2 linked regions of the Oreochromis niloticus genome follow. The protein of the gene in region 2 interacts with the protein of the main gene of each other region in a pairwise test. Links are inferred from orthologs where the notes say so. Each region holds a gene or a part of one and is shown on either strand. Other genes may lie near its edges.

Region 1 (9,363 bases), on a different chromosome or scaffold from region 2:
GTTTGTTTTCAGAGAAGATAATAGAGTTTGCAATGTGTCTTATTTAAGTGCACAAAGATGTTTGTGCAGTTTTAAGACAGCAGAAACCAGCAGGTCAGCCAGATGTGCATGGGTAGTCTTAACTCTACCTGCTGGGAGCTGCTAGGTCCCCCAGACTCCTCAGGATCATCTATTGAAAAACACTGACAATCTGTTTGCTCTTGTAATGAGCTCATTGTTCAGTAAAGAAGGAAAAAGCAGGTGTCATTGCTGCTTAGCTGTGGCTCTTTGAGCAGGAAAGCTCCTCTGAGTCCAGCTGATACCTTGATTTGGCTCAAACATATTGCAAAAGTCTGAGCCTGCAACAAAGCTGAGCCTGAGGAAGACTGGGCCTTTATCTTACCATGCCATTTTTTTAAACTTAAAACTGATGAGATGAGCCTTTAAAAGCCTTTAAAGTCAAAACTTCTCTTTTTTAAATTTCCATAGACTCCATGGAAAATTTGTAAAACATAGGCTGGCTGTTTTTATGTGACTTTATTTTTGTTAGATTTTAAACAAAAAACTGTTTAGGCACAGACAGGCAAAGACAGATAAAAAAGAGATTCATATTGAATTAAAACCTTCGCTACTTATTTACAGGGATTTTAGTTCAGATAACACATGCTTTTCTTGCTTAGATGGAACTTCAAGGGGAAAACTTTTTTGCATTGCGTAGAATAACTTAAAAAGTTCTCTTTACTACATGTATGTTTTTATAAAAAGTGCAAGTTTATATGTCCTGTATATGTCTATGTCTATGTCTATGTATATGTATGTCTTTAACATGCCAAAAGTGCAAAACATGTAGTGACAAAACACTGTCAATAAATAAAATCAATGAATCAAGTGGGGAGAGAAAAAAATCCAAACGATTTTTTAAACTAATGACATTGCCCAGTAATAAGTTCACTTTAGGCACCCTAAAATATTCATGGATATATTATCATTTGGACCACAGAACACAATAGAGATGATTTCCCATTGAAATGTATGGAAAAATGAACTAAGGTCAGCAAAAAGACAAAAGACACATTTTTTAACTATTGTTCACATTAGTAGACTCTGCAACATCTGATGGCAACAGTCGGCTTTAATGATGGAGCTTTGCTCACATCTCTCCCTCACAGATGCACCATCGATATCACTGAACCCTCCATCTTGATTAGACAGTGCCTTTCTAATTGAGCTAATCCCCCACTTCAGTTTGAGCGTTGTCCCCTGAGGTCTGACCCTCCACTCTGGCTGCCTCCTGCTCTCACTGTCTCAGCTCTCAGCTTAAAACTCCCTTCCCCTCTGAGGCTCATGTGGACTGTAAAGCTGTTTATTGGGAGACAATGGGCAGCAGATTGTGCTGTCAGGCTCCATTAATTACCATCATTAGCATCACACTCCAGAGTCTGTGGAACTGGGGCCTTAAGCCTTAAGCTGTGTTGGCGTACAGATTGTGTGTGTGTGTGTGTGTGTGTGTGTGTGTGTGTGTGTGTGTGTGTCTGTATGTGATGTGTATATACAGGCATGCATGTATGCGCTTTTTATTTGTCTTAATTGGTCGTATCAGTCGTTTTATTTGCTTCAAAGAAATATACATTTCAGAACATACACACAAACACAAAATCTTATCTATAATTAGTTATGTTCATCTTAGTTTGGTGTCCAGGGATTCAATCATATATCAGCAGTTAACACTTTAAAATGAAACTTTTAAACAGTTGTCAAGATGTTTAAATTGTACTCTGAAGCTGAAGTGTTGGCAGACTTCAGCCAAGTTCAGTTTGATGTAAACATGGAAAACTGTTTGAGACTGCAGATGACTGACACCTGCAGTCTCAAACAGTTATATTATATCTAATTCTGAACACAAATAAAATGTATATGAGGTGAAAACAGTAACTTCTTAACTGCATGAGCCAAAAAGCTTTTAAATATTTCTGGTCAACCAAATTTTTCACCTTCATCTAAAGTCAAAATAAAAATGTGAGAATTTGGGTATTAATTTAAATACTGACATCAATAGCTGGGACCAGGGTATAATAAAGCATGATGCTTACCCACCAACTATTGTCAAAGTTAGTGTTGCATGAAAATGTTTTTGTTAACATTGCATAACACACCTGTTATGCAATATTGGGTAAATGCTATAACTGAAGTGTAAAGTAAAAGGAACGACTGACGGAAAACCAACTCTTTATGATCCATATGTCCTTTTAGAGACTAATCAATGGTCAAATGCAATTGACCACTGACCACCATTGGTATTTTCACCTCCAACGGCGGAGTTCTAAAAGGAAATTGAACCACGTTTCTGCCACGCACCCACTGAGGCATAAGCCTTCTTACTCCAACTTCCTGTCTGATCAATGTGAGAGACAATGACTCAACAGGTGCGACAGACAGGAGCCCAGCGGCAGCTTTCTTCCCTGCCGCTAGCTCCAATTAGCACCCGTGGCTAAGGAACAAAGAGGCGACATTTCATTTCAGCAGAGTGCCAGTTTAAGGCCTCTTCTCTCAACCTCAGCCTATTTTCTTTCTGTCTCTTACTGCTGACATCTTTAAAGGATCATCCCTGGCTCCATCATATTCTATTAGATTGGGTCGATGCCTTGTGTTCAAAGTGGCAGGGGTGTTAAAAACATGGGGTGTTGATGAATTCATTGCATGTGACTGGACTTGCTTTCTTTGTGTGGAGGTTTTGACTAATGAAACCCCCTGAAGATCTGACAAAAGGCAAAGACATTTTTTAAGGTTTGGTCCAACTCTAGATCCACGCTGGATTTCTTCACCAGCAGACTAAAGTGTTGCTTTTCCTACAACTTCAACTTTTGGGAGAAGAGACCTGGTTTATTCTATTTCAATAACAATTTTAAAAGCTATTCATCATCTTTTCTCCCCATACACAGCACCTGTTGTGTGAATAGCTTTAACCACTGTAAGAATACACATAGTGGAAAGCAGGTTTAGCTCTACAGGGTTGAGCAGGTGACCCACATGCCGCAAAGCTAATGCAGAGACTTAGGTTCAAATCTACCCCAAGGCCATTTACTGCGTGTCTTCTTCCTGACCTTTCTTCTTCTGCCTTAAGGTTTATTTTAACCTAATTTTCCTCTAAAGCATTGGCATGACATGAGGTCGTGTAAGCATATTTTCTATGTAACTTTTTATGTTTTTCAACAGCATGAGCTGCTCTGACTAAGCAATTACAAATGTGTTCAGCTCCAGTGAAATAATCATTTACCTATGTATAGATTATAGGTCTAGGTATAATATTGGTCTAGTTGACCATGTTTGGTCCTTTATGGTGTTCTGTTAATGGGTGGGTTATTTTAGAGAGCAAATGAATATTTTGTGCTTAGAGTTTGTGTGTTACAAGCAGGAAAAATAGGGAATCTTTAGGATTTGAGTGAGTTTGACAAGGGACAAATTGTAGTGGCTAGCCGACTGGGTCAGAAACTAAATTAAACCTGGGTCTGGCTCAGAAAGATGGTGGGAGTGTCTTAGTAGTTCAAGAATCACTCTTTGACTCTAAACTGCAACAAAACGGTCTCATGTGTTTTACAATCCGGTGTAAATCAGAGAGAAATCCAAAAAGTGGATGAGTTTAAATATCTGGGTGTCATCTTGGATTCCCATGTTAATTTTGAGACTCACATCAGGAAAGTATCCAGAACCATTAAGATCAACATAAACTGTTTCTGTTGTATAGGTTCATGTTTATATGGAAAAGCTGCTCATTTGTACCTGCATGATTCTGTGTCATCTCTCATACTGTGTCACTGTTTGGAGCCAAGTAACTCAGTCTACTTTAAAACCCATGATGGTGTGGTATAAACAAGCACTGAAAGTTTTAGACCAGAAACTAATGAAGTGACACCACTGTAAAATACTGGAGAAAAACATTCTCTTAAGCTTTGATACAATTTTGGGACTTCTCTTTTTTAAACTAACTTTTAAATGCATCAATGGTCTTGTCCCAGAGTTAGTGAGCAGTATGATGCTAAAAGCCAGCAGTAACAAGAAGAGTAGCTCATAGAGACCGCAAACTACCAAAATAGAAAACATAATTTGCTCAATCCTGGTTCTCACTCAAAGGTCCTCAGATTATGGGAACAGTTTACCATCTGCAATAAAAATGTTAACAGATTCTAGGGTTTTTAATTCCCAGGTGAAACAATGGCTGAAACAAAAACAAATCTCTGGATACTGATGTAAACCAGCCTGCTTTGCTGTGGTTGGATAACACGACATGGCCATGCATCTCCTGCTATTAGTTAAAGTAACTCTGAGTGAGTGTGTGTGTATTTGTGGACGGATTAGTTTTATTTCTGCTGTATTTTTTTTTTTTTTTAAAGTCCAACCACGGACTGGGTTTTCTAGCCTTTAGCTAGAAGACCTTTGTACAAAACAACGGTTGCATTGTTTTATCATGTAACATTGTCTCATGTCCTGTCCTTATCAAATACATGTAGCTAACTAACTAGCCGCAGACCAGTCCTTGTTGGCAGAGACAGTGTGTTGCTTTGGGTAATATTCTGCTGGGATACCTTGTGTACTGCCATCCATGTGCTTGTACTTTTACATGTTGCACCTACCTAAGCATTGCATCCTATTCCCTGCCCCTGGCTGTGGCCTCTTTCAGCAGGATACTTCCCTGTGTTATAAAGCAAAAATATGATGCTGATGCGATCAGCATCAGCTAATTAACATTAGTTTACCAAGAGCTTGAAGACATTGATTTTCACACCCTTAAACAGTAGCCTACACCTCTGGTTTTGCCAGCATAAACCGCTTTACTGTGCGGGGTAAAGCAAAGACACACTTACACTGAGCCACGTTTGCCGCAAAAACAAAAACAAAAACCTCGTGGTATAGGAGAGGAAAATTGTGCACAAACTAAAAACTGGATGCATTACAGATTCAAACCTCCAGAGCGCATGCGCTGTCCGTAAAGCGTTGTCTGCGTTGATATGGAGCGGAGCGAGGCGTGTTTATAGCATCCCTTTGGTTTGCTTATATATCATGCTGCAGTTTAATACAAACATAAAGTTCGCAGTCTGCTGTGTGTCGGTTTCGTGTATTAAACTGCCAGCGGCACGCTGTCATTTTAGATTTCTTCCTCGGCCTATCAACGAAGCAGGAAGACAGCGCCGTTTGTGTAAATATGAAGCAACCAGGAAGTGTTGCAGCACTTTAATCGTTGCTATCAGCGATGCCTGTTATTAAACTGCTGTGCACCACCCTGGGGAAGACATTAGGATTTTTCACTGTCCTGGTTGTTTTCATCGCAGCGACCTTAAATTATTTCGAAGATTCCGAAACGGTTAAATACACGAGGTAATGACACGCGCTCGTCTTTGTTAACGTTAACGAATTTATACTCGACACCGAGCTGTATTTAGTTACATACATGCTAAATATGCCACTGTCAGATCGGTCAAGCCAACCTCCATTCACGAGTACATGAATTTAATGTGATCTTTCCTCTTGGTAGTCGTAGTCCCCTTAACACCGATTTCTGAATTCCGTAAATTTATCGCAAATAATCATAACTGGTAGTCACTATTAACCAGTATTTAATACTTTGTTTCACCCTCGATTATAGCTGCCCACCGAGGTGCTAAACGGTACTGTTCAGATTTACATGTGCATTAAACGCGTGATATTTACATGACAGGGCTGTCTGTTGTTAACAGTATGGCTGAGGACATCAAGACCCTAGAAGAAAACTTCAGGCAGCAGAACAAAAGCTGTTTCATCCTAGGCGCTTCAGGGGAAACTGGCAAGGTGTTGCTTCAAGAGCTGCTGGAGCGTAATATTTTCTCTAAGATTACTCTTATTGGAAGGAGGCAGCTCACCTTTGAGGGCAAAACTTATGAAAACCTGGTTAGTGGGCTGATCAGTTGACCAAACTTGTAATAATAAGGCCAGTAAAAAATTTTTTTCTTAAGCACTGTTTTCTGTGGCCCCAGGTCCAAGAGGTGGTCGACTTTGAGAAGCTTGATGATTATGCTGCTGCCTTCCAGGGCCATGATGTTGGATACTGCTGCCTGGGAACAACCAGAGCTAAAGCAGGAGCTGTGAGTGGTCTCAATCCAGCACGGGAACTTGACAACCAAATGATAAGATTTTACTGTTTCACTGTGGCTGTCGGCCATAGCCAAACCTTAGTTTGTTAACAGTAACTATGACTCAGCAGTAACAATAACTGAGCTGTGTCACCCACATTAATTTGGCTAACATTTCCATTAACACAGCTAATAAATTGACAAGGCTCATGGGCTATTTTTATAGACACTGGCTTATTTTGTAATATCTGTTATGCCACTAAGTTATAAAACATTGCTTTGAGGTAATTTAGAAGCAGCAATGTTATTACATATCATGTCTCTCAGAGCACTTCTAAATCATGGAGGTATAATTTGGCTACAATGACTTATTTCAGAGCTCCTAATGAAAAATATTTACCCATATTATACATATGGAAACGATATACATCAGTGACAGTCACCAAAATTGAAATGTAAAAATGTTGGTCTTTTTTTGGGTCCTATTTCATTAAGTGCATTCTTCTGTTTCAGGAAGGATTCATCAGAGTTGATCATGACTATGTTCTAAAATCAGCTGAGCTCGCCAAAGCTGGAGGCTGCACACAGTTCCACCTGGAGTCTTCCAGGGGAGCAAATAAAAAAAGCGGCTTCCTTTACCTCAAAGTCAAAGTATGTTTTTGACTTAACATCCTGAAATTTCCTCAGCTAAACTTTCTTGGAGTCCTAAAATTAATGACTGTTCTTCCAGGGACAAGTAGAGGCAGACATCGAGGCCCTTGGTTTTGACAGATTCGCCATTTACAGACCAGGGTGAGTGATCTCACTTAGAGCCTCTTTTCAAAAAGAGCCAAGGCGCTGTGTAAAAAAAGTAAACAGGAGCAGGATTGAGTGTTTTTAAACCATAAATTTATTTGAAAATAGCACATAGCCCCCCAAAATTACACAAGTTATCACAAAACAAACCCTCTTTCTTAGAAACTAGATTGTACTGGCCGTTACAGAGCCTGTAAATATACACTCACTAGCCACTTTATTAGGTACATTTAACTGCTCAACTGAGCATCAGAATGAGGACGAAATGTGAATTGAGTATGAACATGGCTGTTTGTACAAACTCGTCTAAGTATTTCAGAAACTGAGGCCTTAGTTCACACAAGCTCACCAAAGCTGGATAATGGAAGATAGGAAAAATGAGTCTTTATTTCTACTGTGACATTTTTCATCGTATAAACAAGATGAAATCATGGACCCTTCCTGCCTTGTATTAAAAAATAATAACTAAAGGTCTAAAGGCCAAAGCGGATACAACCAGGTATCAGTGAGGTGTACCTAGTAAATAGGCTGCTGCAAATTACATGAATTGAAGGGATGAGGAACACCTACCTAGAAAATATATAGGGCTGTGGCTGCATAGAGTTGATTAGAGCAATAAAAAAGTAAAATCTGGGATGATCATTCTCTAAAAGAAGAGTCATGTGTGACTTCTGCTAATGTGGCAACAACTTAGGGAAATTCACAACGAACATGACACAGTGTGACTTTTCTGTAATTAAACTCTTGTAAATTCATTCTTCTGAAGGTGAAGTGGCATTTCATCAGTCAGTGTGATCTAACCAGATACAATCTCTCAGTCTTACCTTTTGTACTTTTTCTCCACAGGGTTTTGTTGGTGGATAGGCAGGAGAGTCGTCCCGCTGAGTGGATGGCGAGGAAGTTCTTTAGCACCGTGTCTGCTGTTGGATTTAGATCCATGGCTGTGCCAATCCAAGAGGTGGCCAAAGCAATGGTGTCAAACACTGTGCTTCAACCTGAGCAGAAGACGGAGATCCTGGAGAATAAAGACATCGCCACTCTGGGGAAAAGTGCAGGGAAATAAGAGAGCAGGAAATTTACAGGGGTGGGAAAAAACATGTTCAGTATGCACTCAAACTTTCAGAAAGACACATAAACCTTTACATTTGACAGGAGACACCTGTGATGCTTTGGATAACCTAACTGGGTGGTTATCTATAATTCATCTATATCTCCATGTTTAAAAAATACTTGGGGTATCTCTATAAGTTCTATAAGTCCTATAAACTTGTAAGAAATTGAAGCCAAGTAACTTTCCAAAAGTATAAAAAATTGAAAGGTGTGCATGAGAAGTTGCTTAAAGACAAATATTAACTTTAGTTTATGTTTTATTTAAGGAACTGTCATCATATTTCAGGGTTATTATATCCTCGAATGCCCATCAAACCAACATCATGGTGTTTTGCAGTTGTCAGAAATCCAAAGGTTTTTGTCTTTAAAGAAGTAAAAAAGATAAAGTAGTAGTGCCAGGCCTTTCAGTCTTCATCATTTGTGCTCCAAAATATTAACCACTGCCTCAAAGTAAACGTTTACTGAACACTAGATTGAGATAATGACGTTTAACCTGTTCATTAAATTATAATAAATATGTACTTATGTGTGTTTAATTCAGGGAAATGTTTCCATAGCCGCAGGATGAATGTATGGATCAATATATAAAGAAATCTTTGTGCATAGCTTTTACTTTGCACACACCAAGATCCAAATGTGTGACGCATGTATTACAATTTCTGTACTGGAGGTGCTGCATAATTGTCATACAATAAATGTACTCATGACAGTTTATACAACACGTCTCATTTACCTGCTCTCTCAGTTTTTTCTATTTAGTTTACCTGTTTACCTCTTTGTGTACTTTTGTACAACTCCAGGGTTTTTCTACACCTCTATTATTAGTGCAGTGTATTTTCCAAGAAACAGAAAGGTAAAATCTGAGTTTGTTCTTTTTCATACTTTTTCTCATATTAGACATTTTCTTTTGGCTGCATAATAAATGTCACATTCTAACATATTCTAATATCTAACAATACAATACAATATCACAACATGTTTATTTTATATGTAAAGTCGTCTTTAACAGATATATTTTTCATACTGAATTTTGTTCACACGTTTCACAAGTGTTAGAATTGAAAGTTGCAGATTTATTTTAAGTCGATAAAGCAGGTGATGCCCTAATTCCTTTTTTAAGAGACACAAACTTAATTTAACTTGTGTGACAGAGCAGTGTCACTGTCACGTCTTAGTTCTACCTCATTTTTCAGTTTTGCCTCTCGTTATTGCGTTTTGATGGACTTCACTATTAAATGCAAATCCACTGAAACGCTTGAATTTGTAATGTTAGCCCCTTTTTCCTCTTTGACGCAGCAGCGACCTCTTGTGACTAAATGATGTAATACATCTTACAGACAAGGATTTGTTCACTAATATTTGTTGGGATCAGCAGTCA
Region 2 (9,363 bases):
GCTTTGAAGTGGTGGTAATACACACATTACAAGAAGATGGCAGCCAAATATGCACTCCTCATATATGGTTTAATGTTATATTGTTAATTGGCAGTTATGTGACAACAGTGGAGAAGAACACAAGAGTTTCTACTAAGAGTGAATATGCAAAAAAATATTTTTAAACATGTCACCACTCATATATCATTCATTGGACAGTTTATTAGCTTCAACCACTCATTAACACAAACCTAAATCAGCCAATCACATGGCTGATGGCTTATAGCCTTGCTGAAGTTCAAACAGAGCATTAGAATGAGGAAGAAAGGTGATTAAATCGACTCTGAATGACATGTGCCGGTCTGAGTATTTCAGAAACTGGGATTTTACCACACAAACATCTTGAGGGTTTATAGAGAATGGTTCAAAAAAAGGAACAACTATTCAGTGACCTTTTTTAACATGGCTTAGGATAACGCACCATATCTCACACACAGTTACCAGATGCCAATCCAACCTAGCACCCTTGGGATGTTGTGGATTTGCATTATAGGCATGCAGAAAATAAATCTGCAGCAATATAGACCAAAATCTCGGAGGATTGTTTCCAGCTCCTTGTTTTATCCTTGCCAGGAAGAATGAAGGAGGTTATGATGGCAGAAGATGGTCCAACCTAATACTAACCACGTGTACCTAATCAATTGGCCAGTGAGCTGACTTATTAAACAAGGCTTTTAGCACAAACTGTGGCACACCATGTGGTACAAGGACAAATACATGCTCCTCACACACACACACACACACCTGGGCACCTCACGCCTCACGAATAAGGACATGCTTTGTTGCCACACTCGGTTTAATCAAGAGTTTCAACAGTCTGTCTGAAGAACACGAACACAAAGCATGAGATTAAATTAAGAAAAGGGAACTCTAAAACTTCCCATGGTGGCTCATGTGACTCTTTGCATGTCACAAGAGATAAAATGGTCAGCCTTGTGTTGTGTAACGTAGTGTGTCAGGCAGTACTTGTGTGACTTCAGACAGAGTGACACTGGGACACGCCCGATAGATTTTCTTCCCCAGTGAAGAAGTTAGCTAGTGAATGTACCAAAAGCAGAATTCACTTAAGCTGTTCTATCAGCGTGTGTGTGTGTGTGTGTGTGTGTGTGTGTGTGTGTGTGTGTCCTTACCGCAGCTCTTGCATCAGCCATCCTGGCTTTCTTTAGTCTGGTTTTGGCTGCATCCAGATCCAGGCGTTTGACCTGCAGCAGCTTCCTCTCTTTCTGGACACAAATCACAACATAAAAGTCTCACAGATAAACGACACATGGACACAGCACAGTGTAAACAAGGCTTCTACTTCATTCATCAGTGTTTACTTTAGATTATAACACGATTAAAAGGGCTTGTTTTCTATAATCACAATGTGAGTTTGCACACACCTGACATAGTCTGAACACTAAACTCTAAACTGAAGTGAGCATAATGTACAGACTTCAACAGGATCTTTCAGTACTTTGTAAAATAATGGCTACAATCATTAAAGCTGTACTCGTGGACCCTCTGCAGCCGTCACTGTTGTGAATGAGATCCAGATTTAAAGGTCAAAGTCCGGGTAAAAGTGAAAGTGATTCAGGACAGGTAGCCTGCGGTTCCAACTCACCAGAATAGTTTTGAAGTCGCCCTCTAAAAAGTTTCTGAACGGTGTCAGGAAGTTGATGGCGGCACTCTGGATGAACTCCCGCTCCGCCCCACCAATCTGCTTCTCCGTCTCTCCACATTTTATCAGAGCGTTTCCTACAATGGTCAGCAGCAAAAGGAAAGTTTAGTGCCAGCAGAACACTTGGGAGGGAGAATGGTGATATTGTTTCAGCTTGACACTGATAAGTGGCCTGGCTGGGACTGAAAATAGCAGAAGATGGTTCAGAAAATCATCAAAATGTTCTTTAAAACAAACAAACCAGAGTTTAACTCATTTTTACAAGTCTTCATGAGACAGACAAACAAGCTGATGATGTTTTGAGAAATATTTAGAGATTTTTAAGATTAGGCTTAAAAATCTTTCCTTTGGATAAAGCTTATAGTTAGGGCTGGATCGGGTAACTGGATCCTTAGTGATGCTGCAACAGACCTAGGCTACTGGGAGCTACCCATGATGCACTGCATTTCCTCTTTTTTCACTCTCTGTTTACACACCACCCAGCATGTAACCAGTAGTTATTATTAATCTCTGGCTCTCTTCCACAGTGTGTCTTTTGCCCCGTCTCCCTCCCTGCTAACCAAGTAACTGCCCCTCCCTGAGCCTGGTTCTGTGGTATGTTTCCTCCTGTTAAAAGGGCGTTTTTCCTTCTCACTGTCAACCGTGCATTTATATTCTATTAACAACTGAACAACTAGAGCGACCGTCATTTCTTTTAGCCTTTTGTCCACTGTGTAATGTCAGGAGGCTTGCTAATGATCAAACTACTCTGACTTGAGTTGCTGTAGGCCTCTTTTAGTTGCCTTTGTAGAATTTCTATTATTTTTTGTTAAAGATTCAAATCAACAAAATAAAGACCACAAAGTTTCAGCTCAGCTGGTGTTCCCAGTAGGACTGGGGTCATCTCAGGTTGATTGCTCCGACTGTGCAAATTCTCATTAAACTCACAACAACATTACTTTAAGAAGGACAAAAAAAAATCTCCATCAATAGTAGCTAATTATTTCTGGAAAAGGAACAGACTACCTGGGAAAACTGGGGCATGTTTTAGGTTTTTCTGCCAGATTTGCTGTTTAATGTATGAGGCTTTGTGAGTGAACAAATCAAAGCCAGAGTAGCTTTGGTCTATTGGCTTTCTAACGGCAGATGCATCCCGCCACAGCTGAGAGAGGCCTATTAGCATAATTATTAGCATTACTCAGACATCATGAGACTATGTGCAAGTGCAGACTACCTGGCTCAAAGTCTTTTCCCATTTTAATACACAAAACAAAGTGAAAATAATCAAATATGGTGCAAATATTAGGTTTTTTATGTGTATAATAATAATAACAATAATAATAATAATAATAATAATGATCATGATAATAATAATCCCTGTGTATTTATAATTTATGCAGTCTAACTGGGCTAGCCGCTCTGTAGCTGATTTATTTAATCTGGAGGTAATGTACAGACTTTCTTTCCCTGAGCAAAGACAGTCTTTGATCGACTACAGCCCCAGTACCTGTCAGTGTTTCACCGTGGCACTCACCATAGGCAGTTCCAGGACCAAATTCATTCCCTGATTCAATCATGGACTGTCCCAGCAGCTCATGATTGTTCATACGTGTGCGGACCTTCTTCTCCAGTTTCTCATAAACAAATTCTTCTAGCCGGACATCTGCAGAGCGCAAGAAGAAAACTCAATTACAAAGTCACAGGACTACAGTGAGCGAGCCAAATGCAGGGAGTGACTTTAGTATGCTTCAGACAGCCCGACTTAAAGACCCACACTGAAAGCTTTCATTGTGACAGCTATGACAAACTACAAGCCAGCGTCTCTCTGAAACCGCTGTAATTTGTTTCATGTTACTACATCATGTGAAAGATTATCTGTGCTGTGTTTAACGTGAACACAATAACATCCAGTTTACCATGTCTACGACTATTGCACAAGACTGCAACCGCCAGATGGACGGTCTGTGTTTGTTGTGCCTATGCTGGTGTTCGGCTGCAGAGATGCGACATCATGGTGTGAAGTGAGGAGGATGCACAGCTGAGTTTACAGACTTCACAGGCACCCTACAAACCCGTGGAAGTCAAACACCCTCTCTGAGAAGTAAAGCTTTTAATGTGAGCCTTACTGGCAGCAACAAATCTTTCATCTTTATTGAGCTGCTCTTCAGGGAATTCCTGATTCCTGAATATCAGGTTGCAGGTCTATAAGAACATTGTGTGGGTGGGTGCCCTGTGCTGCTTAGAAATGTCAGTGTCAGTCCTTTGAAAGTCAAAAAGTGTGATCTTACTGGGGTTGGGCTGTAGTAAGACTTCTGTCTGCTTCATAATCTTTTCTGTCCATTGCTTGGTGCTCTCAGCTCTGACCAAAAGTTTCTCCAAATGGGCATCCAACTCTGTCTTTTCAGCCTGACCAAGCTTCTCTTCTGTAAACTGAAAAATTAAAAATATACGTTTACATTGCGCATGCCAGTTGTAGCTTTCACGGATGTATTCACAGATACACACAAGATGACTGAGGGTAAAAAGCTAAGCAACGTTATTAAGCTCGGAAAATAAAGGTTAGCGCTATCTGCCAGCTGCTGTTGATAGCTTCATGTGACGGTGTTGAGGCCTTCATTGATGGTTAAGTTGAACAAATAGCTTAGTGTTAACACGACCTGGGTGACGCACTCACTTTTTAAATACATTCTACAATGCAAATTATAGAAATTAACTTACAATTAGGTGTAACTGCTTAGCTACAAAGTAACAATCACGGTAACGTTAGCTCTTTAGCAAGGACGCTAACGCAACCTCACAGTGGCTAACGCTGACTAGCAACAATTCCCATGAACTAAATTGTTAGACTTACTTGTACCGCTCGGCTCAAAAAAGTACCGGCGTCTGCGGCTAGCCGTTTTACATTAAAATCCATGGCACAGCGGCGAAAATAAACACTTAATGTTAACAACTGGCTAGTCTCGCCCTCAAAGAGCCATCACTATACAAAATGTCATTGAAGCAACTTTTTTTTTGTCCAAGTTCCACCCAGCTGTTGAGCCAGGCAAAGATAGTATAGTGACAAGATTGTTCCCTTCCCTAACGTGTCAGTGGATATTGCGAATGCGCAAATAATATACGACGATGGGTGGGGACGTTGAAAATGCAGTTTAAATGTATGAAGAAAAGAAACGAAAGTGTTATCGTGGTACGATGCGAGGGACAGTAGTTGAGTGAAATAATATGCAAGTGCTGAAGCAAGTGAATTTTGTTCTAACAACCAAACAGTACCCTGAATATTCAATGGTGTCGCCGTATGACCAAAGGAACACAGTAGCGAGTAGGAGATTTCTCTCTTGCATTACAAGTAATCTTTGGATGCATTCACGTCACACGGAAACATTAGCCGCCATTGTATTTATTTTGATTTTGTACTTCTTAAAAAAAGCGAATTTTTAATTTTTTGTCTTTTTTTTTTTTTTCTAAAATTCTACTTTTTAATTTAACTGAGCCCGGTTTCCTTTTATTTTATTTACTTATTCTAATTTTCTCCTGCAACACAGGAATGTCTCAGCCTTTGGGAAAAATAAACTCTTTTTTTATCTTCTAAACTATAACAACTTTTTCATTTTATACTTCTCACTCATTCTGTAAACATTTCAATATAAGCTAGACATGGAAAAAATCCAGTTTTAACGAGGGCAAGTTTTTATCAGGGTGCTAACAGTAAAAAAAATAAATACTTTTTTCTTTTTTAAGTCACGTTAAGTTTCTTTTTTAAGACCTTTGCCATTCACTTATTCATGTGCCTTTGGTAACTGTGTGAAACTATTCTGTGAATCTTTCGTTATTATACCATTAATACAAATAAAAAGATTGTTGTTAATAATAATAATAATAATAATTTAAGGATACATTATTTCTATGTTTGACATCAACAGGAGGAGGTGGTGTTGGTTGGGTTTGTGGAGGCTCATCTGCCTCCTATAAACTAATTTGCAATTCCACTGAAAGTAAAGTGCACATTAGAGCACACACAGAACTGTTAAGTACACTTTTTCCATAAAAACTGCTGACACGTGTGCTGTACCCCATCAGTAACACAATATCTTTTGCAAACATCAGCCCTTTCTTCAAAAACATCTTAACAAAAGCAGAATTTGGAATAACAAAAACACTCTTCAGGTCTGGATGTGATTATGCCAAAGTGAGCCGGTTACCTGCTGTGTGGGAGGAAGTCAGGCAGAGGGAGACATCAAATGACTTCCCCTTGCAGGCTACCAACGCACAGTCAGCCTCAACCTTTCCACTCACCAAAACCTTGGCTCTGAGATTTCTTCATCCAAACATTAGTGCAGTCAGTGTTTAGGAAACATAGCTTAAAATCACACATAGCTCCCTTTTTTTCTTTGCTAAGATAACAAACAGTACCAGTTTAAATACACTGACTGACAGCGTTAACCAGTCAATCTCTGAATGTAAAACTTTTACTGGAAAAGCAACCCAGAGGCTCCAATGGGAGCCTACACTCAGATTTTTTTCTTCAAACCCACCCCATGTCAAAGATATCAAGGATTTGGCACTGCCTTATGTTTGGCTAACTTTCAGAAGTGTTGGGGCGGGTGCATTAAACATGTGAATATTAATGTCAGCACTTTCAGGAAGGCAGAACAGCTCCTGTGAGAGAGAAATAAGTGGCAGTCTCTGCGTGTTCCAGTAGTAAATCTGTGTGTATCTGCTCTTTCACTTCACAATAACAGAAAGTTCTCAAAGGAGTAAGAAGACAGAAACCCACTTAACTCTGACGGTTCAGCAAAACTACTCTCTCTCATCAGACATGCTTCCTAAGATTAGGAAATCCCTACTTTCCACTCCACAGGAAAGCAAACAGCAGACAAATACAAATGTCTCAGTAACACAAGTTTTTATTTGAGAATAGGTTACACAAGCTTTTACTGGGTTTTTTTACATGATGCAGCTTTGACCGAGCAAATAGATTCGAGTTTCATTCAGCACAAGACTTTAGAATGCAACTGTCATGGATAACTGTGCCAAAGTACATCTGCAACTTGAGAAAGTCTCTTAAAATGCAATTATCCACAAATTCTACATAGATGATGAATTTGTGGGGGGAAGAAATTCAAATTGAACTATGATTACTGAATCTTTTTGACCACTTTTTCAGCTAGCTCCAACAGCAGAGGGTATCTGAGCGTCCTCTTCCTCCAAGACTCTGGGATTCCCTGGAGGCCGATCTGAAAGCACATCGAGATGACAGCTGAAAGCATCAAGCAAGCACAAAGCTCTCGGCATATCTGAGCTCACTGTCAAACTCATCAAAGGAGCTCCAGGGGTGCACAGAACAACATGCAAAAAAGGATGGATTTTGGTGTCTCTTGCAGAGTAGATACATTTGGACTGGTTTGTGCTTGATGCCAATAAACACGTAGAATATTTTCTCCCATTAGTGCTGTATATCTCACATCTGTACTGGAAGCTTGTGGCTATTCTGACGCTGGTGATATCCCACCTACAGCTGTGCAAATATTGGTATTGGTGCAATGTCATCTGGCTGACGAGCTCACAGTTGAATGTCTTCACATTCTGGTGGTGTCACAGCTGTATGAGGTGCCGTTAATGTCTTTTCCTGATTCTGACTTTGCTGATTTTGTTTGTACCAAAGTAGCAACAGTATCCACTTACTCCATGTTGCCTTATCTTTTCAATGAACAATATGTAAAAAGTGTCAGTGTTGAATGTAAACACTTTTTTCTAGTCATACACTAATTTGGATAAGTCACTCATGGCTCTTTTTATGTGTCCATCAACCATGTTCCTACAGTACCTGTGCCCCAAAACAGGCTCCAATGAAGGAGGCTCGACTGGCGGTGCATCCCCCGCAGCGCATGGTGTCTCTGACTGCTTCGTCCAGCTGGTTGAGTGTCAGGACTCCATGAAGCGCTCCCTGGAACGCACCGGGCAAAGCTGGAAACAAATCCAGTATGAATGGCACATGGTTGTAACATCCACGTTACTGGGCTCTTTAATGTTTTTACTCTTCCTTATGATGCCACACTATGCTGTAATTCAGTTCAATTCAAATTAGTTTCATTTATATAGTGATAATTCCCATCAGTCAGTCAACACAAGATGCTTTATATTGTAAAGTAAAGACAATATGACAATGCAATATTAGACAGAACCCCATTGGACGACCCCCTGTGCGCAAGCACTTGGCGACAGTGGGAAGGAAAAACTATGTTTTAACAGGATGAAACCTCTGGGAGAACCAGAAGGGAGGGGCAACCAACCGGTTAAAAGCAAGGGAAAGAGAAGAGAGCAGAGAGAGAGACAGGACAAAAAGCACACTATGGAAGAAAGAGACAGAGTTTGATAATAGTTAAGTACAGCAGTGGTATAAAAGCACACAGGAAGTGAAGAAGAAAAGCTCAGTGCATCATGGGAAGCCTCCAGCAGCGTAACGAAGGGAGGGTTTAACTATAAGCTCTATCACAAAAGTAGAGACAGAGTCTGTTTCCTGACTCTAAACTGGGAGCTGGCTCCAAAGAGAAAGGCTCTGAAAGCTGAAGGTTCTCCCTCCCAGTCTACTTTTAAATACTAGGTATCTCAGACTGCAGGCTAACTAGGAACCACAAGTTAGCCTGCAGTCTGAGAGTGAAGTGCCCTGTTAGCATATTAAGATACTATGAGGTCTTTAATGGCTTTACAGTATACTTAAAATGTACATTATATTAATGGCGGGAACTTTCCACGTGTACATTAAGTATCTGAACCCTTTGAGCCCTGTAAAACCTGAGACACTCAACTCAGCGGGAAGGGGAGAATGAAAAGCCAGGAGGAGGGAGACCATTAGTCAGGAGATCAAAGACTGGAGAGCTACACTGACAGGAAGGGTCCTGCTGCTGCCTGCTAGCTTACCTCATGTGTTTGTGAACACGGCAGGTATGAGCTGTTGGGATGTCTTGGTGAGGTTGTCCTTCACCTGGCTGATATGAGCTTGAGTGGAGACATGAGAACAGAGATAAGATTCACTGTTTTTTACTCAAGCACCAAAGCCCTCTCACAACGCATAGTTTTTAAGCCCTTTCTTGCAACAAATTACTTTTGATTCTGAAATACAAACTGAAAACTTTAAATGTAACCGTGTCCTGGTGTGCAATATCTTCAAGTCTTAAAGGAAAAGTTGCTTTCTGTCAGCATGCTTATTTAAAGGACATAATGGAGAAGTAATGCAAAGAGAACCACCAATATGCAGCTTTTTTGTAACAAAACCCACGATAGTGCCTTGCATGGACTGTATGTACAGGTATGCAATGTACAGGCTACAGTCAGCTGTGACCTTGGATTTGTTCATGGCTACAAATCACATCTGTAAACATAAACAAATCAGTCAAATACAACAAAACCATGAATGCAGCATACTTTTAATTCACATGCTAATAATGTTTTTTACTTTTTCCTGTTAAGTTTGTGAATGCAATTACTGTAAAGTATGATTAAAGTGAGACATAAGCACTTTTGCTACAGTAAAGGATTAAAAGACAGTCCATCCTGTGTGTTAATATTAGTAGTTAAGACAGATGCACCAGTTAGCATAAGCTAACAGATGCACCAGTAAGCCTAAGCTAACTGGTACATCTGGACAAAAAGCTTAATGTTTTTATCCTTTTTCTAGCTTCTGAGTG

Evidence for each region.
Region 1: the proteins of sh3glb1a (region 2) and htatip2 interact in binary tests that used the Homo sapiens proteins (3 or more experiments, as listed by UniProt). The link is inferred for Oreochromis niloticus from reciprocal best matches to the Homo sapiens genes SH3GLB1 and HTATIP2.

What each region holds. Positions count from the first base shown.
Region 1 is NC_031965.2:5,702,343-5,711,705, forward strand, and holds htatip2 (oxidoreductase HTATIP2), read left to right. Parts: upstream 1-4,954; 5' UTR 4,955-5,224; coding exon 5,225-5,349; intron 5,350-5,689; exon of another isoform or gene 5,690-5,708; coding exon 5,709-5,898; intron 5,899-5,984; coding exon 5,985-6,092; intron 6,093-6,593; coding exon 6,594-6,731; intron 6,732-6,810; coding exon 6,811-6,872; intron 6,873-7,699; exon of another isoform or gene 7,700-7,721; coding exon 7,722-7,938; 3' UTR 7,939-8,531; downstream 8,532-9,363. UniProt on the Homo sapiens protein: Represses translation by preventing reactivation of elongation factor eEF1A. May also inhibit nuclear import by competing with nuclear import substrates for binding to a subset of nuclear transport receptors.
Region 2 is NC_031974.2:26,306,330-26,315,692, reverse strand, and holds the start of sh3glb1a (endophilin-B1a), read right to left. Parts: upstream 4,724-9,363; 5' UTR 4,593-4,723; coding exon 4,530-4,592; intron 4,109-4,529; coding exon 3,967-4,108; intron 3,342-3,966; coding exon 3,213-3,341; intron 1,777-3,212; coding exon 1,643-1,776; intron 1,263-1,642; coding exon 1,170-1,262; intron 1-1,169. UniProt on the Homo sapiens protein: May be required for normal outer mitochondrial membrane dynamics. Required for coatomer-mediated retrograde transport in certain cells. May recruit other proteins to membranes with high curvature. May promote membrane fusion.